2 linked regions of the Caenorhabditis elegans genome follow. The protein of the gene in region 2 purifies or fractionates together with the protein of the main gene of each other region. This does not show direct contact. Each region holds a gene or a part of one and is shown on either strand. Other genes may lie near its edges.

What was found.
Region 1: the proteins of col-53 (region 2) and K02E10.7 fractionate together in Caenorhabditis elegans (co-fractionation; one large-scale study listed by BioGRID). This does not show direct contact.

What each region holds. Positions count from the first base shown.
Region 1 is NC_003284.9:2,500,293-2,507,015, forward strand, and holds K02E10.7 (Protein kinase domain-containing protein), read right to left. Parts: upstream 4,866-6,723; coding exon 4,641-4,865; intron 4,074-4,640; coding exon 3,954-4,073; intron 3,909-3,953; coding exon 3,848-3,908; intron 3,655-3,847; coding exon 3,539-3,654; intron 3,486-3,538; coding exon 3,318-3,485; intron 2,999-3,317; coding exon 2,762-2,998; intron 2,706-2,761; coding exon 2,472-2,705; intron 2,420-2,471; coding exon 2,354-2,419; intron 2,303-2,353; coding exon 2,135-2,302; intron 2,090-2,134; coding exon 1,967-2,089; intron 1,920-1,966; coding exon 1,805-1,919; intron 1,266-1,804; coding exon 1,069-1,265; 3' UTR 695-1,068; downstream 1-694. Other genes in the region: rabr-1 (RAB family), read left to right, coding at 91-188, 260-358.
Region 2 is NC_003279.8:5,642,609-5,646,922, reverse strand, and holds col-53 (Col_cuticle_N domain-containing protein), read right to left. Parts: upstream 2,195-4,314; 5' UTR 2,187-2,194; coding exon 2,037-2,186; intron 1,993-2,036; coding exon 1,908-1,992; intron 1,697-1,907; coding exon 1,622-1,696; intron 1,574-1,621; coding exon 1,358-1,573; intron 966-1,357; coding exon 747-965; intron 701-746; coding exon 609-700; 3' UTR 553-608; downstream 1-552. Other genes in the region: F55F8.2 (ATP-dependent RNA helicase), read left to right, coding at 1-264, 347-451; M01A12.4 (Protein-tyrosine phosphatase catalytic domain-containing protein), read right to left, coding at 2,866-3,329, 3,379-3,613.

The sequences.
Region 1 (6,723 bases), on a different chromosome or scaffold from region 2:
TTCTCACTGGCACTTTTCCGCCTCTAGAACGTGAGAACAAACACGGAAACTTGAAGATTTATTTTTTCCACACTGATTGTCGTTTTCCAGGGATAAACTGCGAAGAAGCATTTCACACTTTGACAGCTGCAATGAGAGAACGAATAACGGCTGGCAGTATGCATTCGGATGAGTCGGATGACAACGAGGTTAGTAAGACAGACAATATCCGGATGCAATTTATATGCTAATTATCTTTCAATAAATATGCCATTTTTAGGAGTTTTCATCGGCCTTCCACGTTGACGGAGTCATCAAAAGCGATAAAGGGAAGTTCACATCATGCTGTGCAAGTGCTCCGGAACCCGCCTTTGTCTGATTTAAACCTTGACTTAAACATATCATTCATTTAGTCATTCATCACAATCTCGATAAAACACTTCGATCATTTGATAATCTTTTTTTTTAAACGTGCTTTAATTATTTTTAAGTGTGCTTGTCAAAACCATTTCAAGGTGCTCTGCCGTTATGTGGTGCAATTAAAAAACCCCCTTAACATTTGTATGCTTCTTACTTGTTAGCACAATATTTTTTCCCTCATCATCTTTTTTTACATTGGTCATTTGCACTTTCATGACGTCATTGGAACGTCACTATGTTTTATCTTGAATTCTCCAATTTCGGGTATTAAGTTTAAATTTACTATTATGATTGATAAATTGTAATTTTCAAATATTTATTTTTATACAATTCACAGAGAGAAAAAAGAGAGATGGAATATATGGATATGAGGTTGCAGCATACGATACGAAAAAATATTACTTTTGGAATGTGTTGTACAACGCAGTAATAGCTACAATTAATCATGAGAAATTGGAAAAATGTGCATATATTGAGATGGGTAGAAATTTTTTTTAATTGAATAATAGAAATCGATTTTCTTTTGAACATTGAATTGAATTAATTACTCGAAAAGGTTGCACGCTTTCAACTTATTAACAGAGCAAAAAATGTCATTTACATACAAAGCGATACATAGAAACAAAATTAGAACTTATGAAAACAAAAATCTCGTCTAAACTTTTATTTTCAATTGTCCGAACCCAACCCAGAAGAACCAGATCCAGAAGTTGACTGTCGTCGAAAACGTTTCACAATTCTCCGGTATCCAGAGGTTAGAACTCTTATTGAACCTCTACGGAAGCGAGTCATTGCGGATGCACGTCCACCGTCATTTCTGTAGACAAGAGAGAAGAAACGGAGATTGAATTGATCCTCTGCGCCATCTGAAACGACATAGCAACATTAAATAAGAAAATTATTGAAACCCATTCTTATGATGCTAAAATGATCAAATACCATAACAAATTTTTTCTAAAAAATTTTGAACATTTTTCAAGAGGTAGTGAAACTCACTATGTTGGCCACTTTTCAATAAATCTAAAGCAATGTAACTGGTTTGAACCTATAATATATAATTAGAACATACAACCAATTTTCCAAAATATTTTGAAACGTTTCGTTGTATAGCTAAACAATGCTCTCGACATTTTTGGTTTAAAATTAGAAATCTTTGCTGCAGACGAATTGTGTTTGAAAACAATTAGAAACTTGAAATTACGGTAGTCGACAAAAAAATATTTTTCGGAATGTTGTTAAAGGTGGAGTAACTGATAAATGGTCATTTTAGCAATTTTAGCCATTTTTAGCAATTTGATTTTTAATAATTTTCCCCACTATTAATTCTGAAACTCTGTTTGAGCCATTAAACTTCAAACATTTTTTTTAAATCAGAATTTCTATTATTATCTAAATTCCAACTCACAATAAATCACTTCTTCACTCTCCACAGCTTCTGCAATCAGCTTATAAAGACACTTATCCTCGTCGTGATTCAAAGCATCAGTTCCAGCTCTTCGACATCGCATGCAAATTTTTATCTGAAAATCATACAGATTTTAAAACTACCCAAACAAAACACTCTCACCGCCAGATTTTCCCAGACACGTTCGGCTTCCTTTTTGCAATAGTAGAGCTGAACTTGCTGTTTGTTCGTGAACTTTGGCATGTTTCGAGCAACTTCAATCTCGGTGTTTTCTCTGCGGAAGTTCTGAAGAAAAAAAACCATAAGATGACAAAAATAATTATATCCTACCATAAGTGCGTAATCTCCAAAATCCGAATCAACTACAGTATCTTGATGTGATCGGAAGCGCTTGATCGTCTGACCCAAACGGCTTTTTATTATGCGATTGAAAATTGACGAAGAGGCAATTTCATCTTTTGCTGGAATGACGATTCTCAAGCACATGCTTCCGTCTCTCTGAAAATATCAGTTTCGTTCTCATCGTAATTCGTAAATAAAAAAACATACCAGTTTGCATTTCTCAATGCGAGTGATGTCATTGTCCCACTCCTTACGGACGTTTTCCATTGCAAACTGGAAAATATTTCTGTTTTTTTGAACACCATTTAAAAATTTGTGCACAAACCACTGCAAACTTTTTGTGATATTTTTTTGGCACAGGTTCAGTCAAGACTTGTTGCTCTCCAGAGACAGCTGGCTCTTCTGGATGATCTGATGCTACACTTTTGTAGCCCTCATCTAAGGTTTCGATGGAGATTTCTGAGCCGTCTCTCTGAACTGTGCTCTTTTCCAGGGACTCTGCCGGAATGAATCTATCAACTACTGGCAACTCTCTAATGAGATCTTCATGACATGAAATCTGGAATACTATTATAGTAGCTAATGCTGTTTTGAAATGGTTTTTTTTAATCTTACAAAATAGTTCCAAACTAGGTCAGAAGTCATCCAATCATCTTCAATTAAAGATTTAAGTGACATGCGTTCAGATGGGTTTACATGAATCAGCTGTTCCACTAGCGATTGAATTTTGTCACTGGCAAGAACGGGGGAACCTAGGATACCAGCTTGAATACTTTCCATCATAGTGTTGCGGCTTTCCAAAATGAACGGACAAGATCCAGTAGCCATAACAAAAATGCACACACCCAAACTCTGAATAAATGGGGATTTTGTTTAAGTACATTTATTACACTCCAAACATTTTTTAGATTTCTTAAGAATTTCCAGTCAAAGTTTTGGCAAGGTGCTGATTTTGAACTTTTAAGAAAATCCAGAATGTCTTTACACGAGCAATTTAAACTAATATAAAGTTGAATATTGTAGAACTTTTTTTTTGGTTGACTTCCAAAAATATAACTGGCAAAATCTAAGTAATTGTCACTTTTTGACAGTTGTTAAAAAACTTCCCAAGTTTTTTTAAAAGTGTAACTTTGATATTTGGTCCTTTTAGCACTATAAGAGTAGTTTTTACCCATAAATCGCATTCAGAAGTCACTTCTGATAACTGATTGTGCAATTCTGGAGCAATAAATGGAAGAATGTGCAGTGGTGTTTGGCTGAATGGGAGCCAGTTCAAAAATTGGGAGCTTTCAATATCCGAAATTTTGACCATATTTTCTTGCAAGAAAATATTCTTTGTCTGCAAAATCGTTGACCTATTGCGTATATCACTAATTTTTCCGAGTTTCTTACATGAAGCGTCCCATGGCAAAGATTTTGTGCATGCAAATATTCGAGAGCTCTTGTGGCTTGTACCAATACAAGCTTAGTCTGGGACTCGTCGTACTTGCCTTTGTCCAAAATGTCGTCTGAAAAGATTAACATTTAGAGAATGAAAAGATACAATAGTAGAAAGTAATCCTACTATTCGTTCGATCAATTTTTTCGAAGTACACACGTTTTTCTGCAACTAATCAATGTTACTCACTAACTCTATTTTTGAAAAGTACATTATAGTGGTGGAGTAGCGAAAATGTTGAAACTTTTTGATACATGCCTTACCGTGTAAAGTCCAAGAATGGAACTCCATTACTTTATACACTATATCTTGAAAATGAGAAACCTGAAAAAAAAAACAATAAGTACAAAAATTTCAAATATCAGTCACCGAGAAAGTCTGTACAATAGCCGGATGCTCGATAGAAATTATTTTCTGAAGAGTGGAGCCTTCATCGTGTGCAGTTAGCACGGCATCATGAAATGTTTCGTGATACTCTTTGATTGCAACCTTGAATTCAATTTTGAAATAACGACACTAAAACAGCTGAAAGCGGTCAAACGTTGTAACACCTGCTCAATTTTTTGACCTTGGATTGCACTTTTAATAGCGTGTGCAAAAAATGTTAAAAATAATTATAAACCAAAGCTCTATAGGTATTTTGAACTAAAAGGAACTGAAGAATACATATAATTGTATAGAAACACTAGTGAAAAATGTGTATTTTTTAGCTGTCCATCAGGGGTTTAGCAGCAGAATATGCAATATTTTAAGAAATTTTGATGATAAATTCCGTAATTTCCTTACATTGTTTTATTATAAAAGTTAAAAAAGGTATGTACTGATCACCCATTTGCCGGAAATTTTCATTTTTAGCAAATTGCCGAATTGTCGTTTGCCGGCTATTAATTTGCCGGAAATTTTTAGAGGAATTTGTTTTAATTTTTTTAATGTGCAAAACCACAATTTTCGGCAAATTCGGCAAATCGGCAATTTGGAAAATTGCTGATTTGCCGGAAATTTGCATTTCTACATTTTGCCGATTTGCCGTTTGCCGAAAATTTTTTTTGTACATACCTGTAACATTGAATCCGTAATAGTTCCTAAGAAGACTGTACCAAAACGACCTGATGCGATTTTGTCACTGATTCCCGTCCCATTCACGACGTTGGACAGGCACGTTAGTTCCACTGGTCTTTCAATAACACTTTCAGATGCATGGTCAATGGACATACAGCATTTTTGGAGTTCCATGGGTATGTCTAATTCTTGGTTTGAGAGGAACATACATTCCATCTTCATCTGAAAGTTTTAGTAAATATTACTTTAAGCTAGTTTACGCAAATATTGTTACGGAAATCAGAAATTATTTTCTCTCGTGCTCCAGTTTTAAACGAACTTGATTTTGAGTTTAAATAGCGAAATAGAGTGGTTTTGAACGATGAAAATAATGACTATTCAACGAATCTATCCTATTAGCACCAATTTGTCGTATTTCTAATATGTAAAACGATGGATTACAAATGCAAGCTTTTCAGCTTCAGTAGAAAAGATTACGAAAAGCTGTTGCAAAGTTGAACTTAGGGCATAGAAGTATCAAAACACAAATGTAAGTTTTTCAGTTTCAGTTCATGATTAATACTCTAATTTCGACAAAATGAGACGTTTTTGAATTCTGTGCTCAACATCGCTTCAAGAAACAGATTAGAAGCAGATTAGAAATTGTATCGTCTTACTGTAGCTGACGCAGAACTAGTAAAGTTACTTAAGACCTTGGATATAATATTGAGATAAAATGTGCACTTTTCGCTTCGCAAAATTCTAAAGTGCGGGGACATTGTTCAGGAAATATTTGAGAACACAACGAATATCTATAGTGACGGCGCGCTTCTTCACCATTTTCCACTTTAAAATCTCCGCCTACATTTTGTGTGAAGCACGGTGAAAAAGCACACATCAACATTCAATGCTCCAACCCGCGAAAAAACACAAGGAAGTTGAACGGAAATAAAAAAGAAAATGTAAAAAATGCAATCCAATATAAATTTTAAAAATTGGTCATAACTAGGGTTTACCTCATTTAACTTGAAACAAAAAAAAATAAAAAATAAAAAATTTTTTTGCAAAGTTTAATTTTATATCTGGTCATTTCAGCTCTTTAGGAATTCAGCCATACTTTTACTTTGCGCAGTTTTCACAAATTACTAGAAAAGTTAGTTTGACGACATAAACTTTTGAGTGTGCTACCCAGCAATTATTCCAGCTACAAGAAGAGAAATATTGATCGTATTCAAAATTTCTACTTACTGTGCTAAAGTAAAAATAGGAAAATAGGAATATTTTTTTAATACTTTTAAATATTCATTTAAAATGGTGGGGATATAATACACAAGTACCAAACAAATTTCAGCAAACCGCACTATTTTAAAGAATAAAGCAATGAAAACAAGAGAAAATAAAATTGAACTCAAAAGCATATGTGCGAATGACGATGGGATCAAGTCAGAAAGTGCATACTCGGCGGGGTTGATGAAGAAAGAAGGCTGTTTTATTGAAATGAGTAAAACATAGTTCTTTCACTTTTTTGTGTGTCTTGGCTAACGACGGCTGCTGGCCAAATAAGAGGGATGATGCGGATGCACTTTTAAGAGAGCACTAACATTTTTCTCTTCTTTCAAGAATGTAGCTTATCTTGCACTGATGTTTGGAATAGATTCTGACTCATGTGTCCTATAATTATTTTGATTCTGCTTTTTCAAGGTACATTTGAATACAAATTATATAGTTAGAGCAGAAACATTTTCAAGCACAAAATTTTAAAACGTGAGCGCAAGTGAGTAATCAAGTAATCTAACATTCGGGTCAATGACTGCTTCGATAAAAATGAAGATGATGAGAGACATTGAAAGTGCAACGGAAATTGTGACGGGTCAAGGGGGGAGTAGAAAAAAAGAAAGAATGACAGATGGGAGCATGTCTTTATGCGTTTCCAACTCACAAGAGGATTTTCGAACTCTCACTAAAAATTCAATGCCACAAGCACATTTCACATCGTTCTGAGAAGCAGGAGTAGCGGGAAGCATGATTACAAAATTGAAGTGTGATCCACGAATTTCCTAGAAAACAGCTTAATATACGTGCAAAAAAAGGTGCAAGTTGT
Region 2 (4,314 bases):
ATGGATGGATTGAATCTTGAAGTTGACACAATGGTCCAGAAAAGTCGCCAACTTCAAGCACAACTACGCACGGAGCTTTCCCTTCCACTTCCACGTGTTGATGGATCGGATTCGATGAAGACAAAGTACATTACTCCTGAAATTGTTGCCCGTTTGAGATCAGTTGGTGATAATGCAATTGACGTATTAAACCAGAAAATTGATGAGACAAAGGAATGGAAGAGAAAGAGCCGAAAAGCTACAAGAGAAGATGAAATGAACTCGGTAGGCTCTTTATTTCCTTAATATCCTCTGTTAGAGACAGATAAATATAGATTTTTAAAAAAGTATTTATAACTTTTTTCAGATGAAAAAATCGTTGAAATCGTCTCAAAAGAACAAGGAACGCCTCGCCGAGAAGAAAAAAAAGGAGAAAGCTGCCAAAGTGACTAAACTATCGGAAACTGATTGAAATTGTCCGATATCCCTAAATTGTTTTTGTTGACATTTAATTTTGTTTTCTGTTCTGTTATGATTTTATTTGTTTTTATTTTAATATGAAGTCGTTTGTGATTTCAAGATAAGTATGTTTATATAGAAGAAAATATAAGTCAAGGCATCAGAAAGAATCAATGTTTCTTATTCCGTTTATTCACATAGTATCCAGGGCTAACACGGGGCGGTGGACATGATTCACATGGCCATGGTTCTCCTTTTGGACCTGAAAAGTTGAGCATTATCGAAATTGTAACTTCTCTGTAACTAACCAATTGGCCCAAAAGTTCCCACAGGTCCTCTTTTTCCAATTTCTCCTTTTAATCCTTGATATCCACGTTCACCTCGTTCACCAGGTAATCCATCTTCTCCGTCTCTTCCAGTTCTTCCTTTCTCACCTGGTGGCCCACGTGGCCCTGTTTCTCCATCTTTTCCAGGTGGTCCATCAGACACATAGATATGTCCTGGTTCACCTGGTTCTCCGGCTGGTCCTATAAATTTATTAGTTTGGTGTTATTAATAACAACTTATTACTATTGTCATTATGTGAAACCGTGAGGCACACGATAACCTTCTAAGTTGGTCTCGCCACAACTTCCGAAATTTTCCGAAACTTTTGAAAAATTCGAACCTTCTACTTGAGTAAAAATTATTCAAAAATAATTAAACTTTAAAATAAAACTAGTAGAATTCTTCGGGGGACTTCAAAAAAAAGATAGTTCAGTAATTGGTATTTGTTACCTGTTAATTGGCAAGTTTCAAACAATTTTTGAAAAGCTATTCTATTACGTTCCTTAGTTTAGAACAATTTAGCACTACTCAAGATCTTTAAAGAAATCAACAAAATGAAGAAAAGTCAGTGGTTACTACTTAAGAAGCATACCTGCAACTCCAGGGAATCCCTTATCTCCTCTTTCTCCAGGTTCACCACGTATTGACGGTGGCGCTGAATCTCCTTGCTGACCAGTACGTCCTCTTTGTCCTTTTGATCCTTTTGGTCCATCTCCACCTTCACGTCCAGGTCGTCCTGTTGGGCATTCACGTATACATACCATTCGACTATCACCATCTGCTGGACGTCCAGGTTGGCCATCTCGACCTTAATTTTTGATATGAGAATTAATAATATTTCCCTTGTTTATCTCACCTGGTTCTCCGTCATATCCATCTCTTGAATTCTTTCCTGGAAATCCTTTCATTCCAGGTGGTCCAATGCAGCATGCTAAAATTATTTTGGAAATATTTTTTAATTTCGGAAACGAATTAATATTTTCCAAAAATTTTAATATGAATCCCATACAAGTGCAATACAAATCCTGACATATTTTCTTGATCAAATTATTTAACGAAGCTCAACTATTTTAATTATCTATTATACTTGCAAGGCCCATTTCAAAATACTACAAATAAAAAACTGGACTATCAAAACTTACACGCCAATTCTCTTTTCTTCCTGGTATTTTCGTGAATTTGCTCTCTAACAAAACTCACTCGTTGCCGAAGGTCACTCATTTGAATCTGAAAATATTGAAATATTGAATTAAACATTAAACTAAACAAACCGGACATTCATCATCCTCTAAGACATTCAAATGGTCCCCAAACAAGTGGATGAAAACAATTGGACAAATTACAGTAACATAGATTACTGTACTAACTGATAATGTGATTGCAACCGTAGGAGATCCTAATTGACGCCAAATATACGACATTCTGATACCTACAAATTGCGAGACAACTATATAAAAATACAGCTGAAATGTTTACTGAATCAGTAATTCTACAAATGTAAAGGCTAACTTTCATGGTCAGTGGCAGATACTTGAAATGTCAGAAATTTTTGAAATACTTCAAAATCAACGTGTAAAAAAGAGAAATGAATCTTTCTTCAATCCAAGTTGACAATTGCACTTGACACAAACTAGTCTTATAGGTTGACGAGGTTCGATAATTATGAGAAAGCACCCTGAATGAGAGAAGACGGTTTAATTGGACGAATATTGAACCACCATATACAATAGAAACCATAGACTACGAACAACTTTCGAATAGCTTCCGACGGAAACGTAATAAAATTGAGTCGATGGATCTTCACTGCATGTGTGGTTCCCTACGTAATTCCATTGACTGAGATTTTGGCAAGCAATTTCTGCTTAGTTTTGTGAACATTTGACCAATAATACCAATACCAATTAAATTTCCAATCAGAGGAATTAATCTTCAATTTTACATAGATTTTTGCACATTATATTATAGATTGAGTTCAAAACCAATAACTGTCTTTAATGCTTCTTTCAGAGAATGAGTGGAATGCGACAATAAAACTATAAAGATCTGCCAAAGAAAATTTATTCGGTTGTATAAGTTGCTAAAAAAAGCAAGTTCAAATTTCTAGGCAGTTTTCTGTTCTTGATTCTTTTTTTCGAGGATTGTCTTCGCAATATGAAAAATGAATAATATACTAACATGGTTTCCATAAAAATCACTTACCTCCATAGATTTGACATAATTCTCATCAGTCTCGCTGACGGCACTACATTGAACACAAAATGCAAAAAAAGTGTAGATTGACGAAAAGAAATCATGTTTACGAGTACATGTATGAGCTCTTCTCTTTCTCATTTCAAACCATGTTTCCATTGCCGAAAAATTTCCAGCTTCAAGTAACTGTTTGCACATAACTGATGTAGCAACAAATGAAGCACATCGACGAGTTCCAGCAATTGCATGAACCAAAACAGTTGTTTTTGCATCTGCCAATGCTACTCCATTTTCAATTGCATTTGCCTCTTCAAAAGCCCACATGTATTCCATGATAACTGTTTGTTGACGAGGAGAACGAATGGATCCAACAGCTGAAAAATTTGATATGTTTTATAAAATTGGGATAATTATAAATATTACATGTGTCGCAGCAAATTATATAAATCATTCGGCGATTGAGTTTCTTCGGAGCTTTATACGATTTCAATTCACATTGATAAACAGTGACGCCTTGTTTTTCATCGAAAATTCCGATAGTTTTCATCTGATACTTTTGAAAGCTCGTGAAAGTTTCTCCTTCTTTTGGCACAAAATAACCTCCAGCCTCTTCTGGAGAAACAAGGCAAACAACAGTTTGGACATTGTAGATCCACATCAAATGAAGATGATCACCATTTGTCGAGTCATTTGGTGCTTGACTAATCAGAAAATTTCCATATGGAGTACGAAAAGTATTCGCATGAACATAGAAATCCTCATTGTCACGGTCCAATATCTCGTCGAAGCATGCCACGTTTGTGAAACGATTTTTCTGGAAATTTATGATATGGGTCTGGATCTACATATTTTTCAGAGAGGAATTCAAAGTTTTGTTCCACTCAGAAATGTCCTAGATATTTTTTTTGGTAAGTAGGCACGTCTGCAGGCAAACGGGTAGGTAGGCAGAAATGTAGGCAAGCAGGCATGGTCACGTACAAAAGCAGACAGGGCACTATTCAGGCATGTAGGTAGACAGTCAGACAAGTTGCCTGCCCATACTCATACTCATATTGCCCATATCTACCTATTTGTCTGCCTACCTTTCTGCCTACTTACGTGCCCTGCCTGCATTCTTAATGCGTTTCAAAAGTTACGTGAGAGCAGATGTTGGAGCAGCTTCAGAAGCCATTCTTGATACGATGTAAAATTGAAAAATAAATTTTTTTCTTTGTATTGATCGATTGTTAACGTTGGAGAATTTTTAAATATCATGTTTTATGTTTTTAACGTTTTTGGTTATTTTTCAAAATAATTTAATGAAATTTATTGAAAATTCATTTGATAGCAAATCGGAGATTTGCTAGGCTTCGCAGTTTG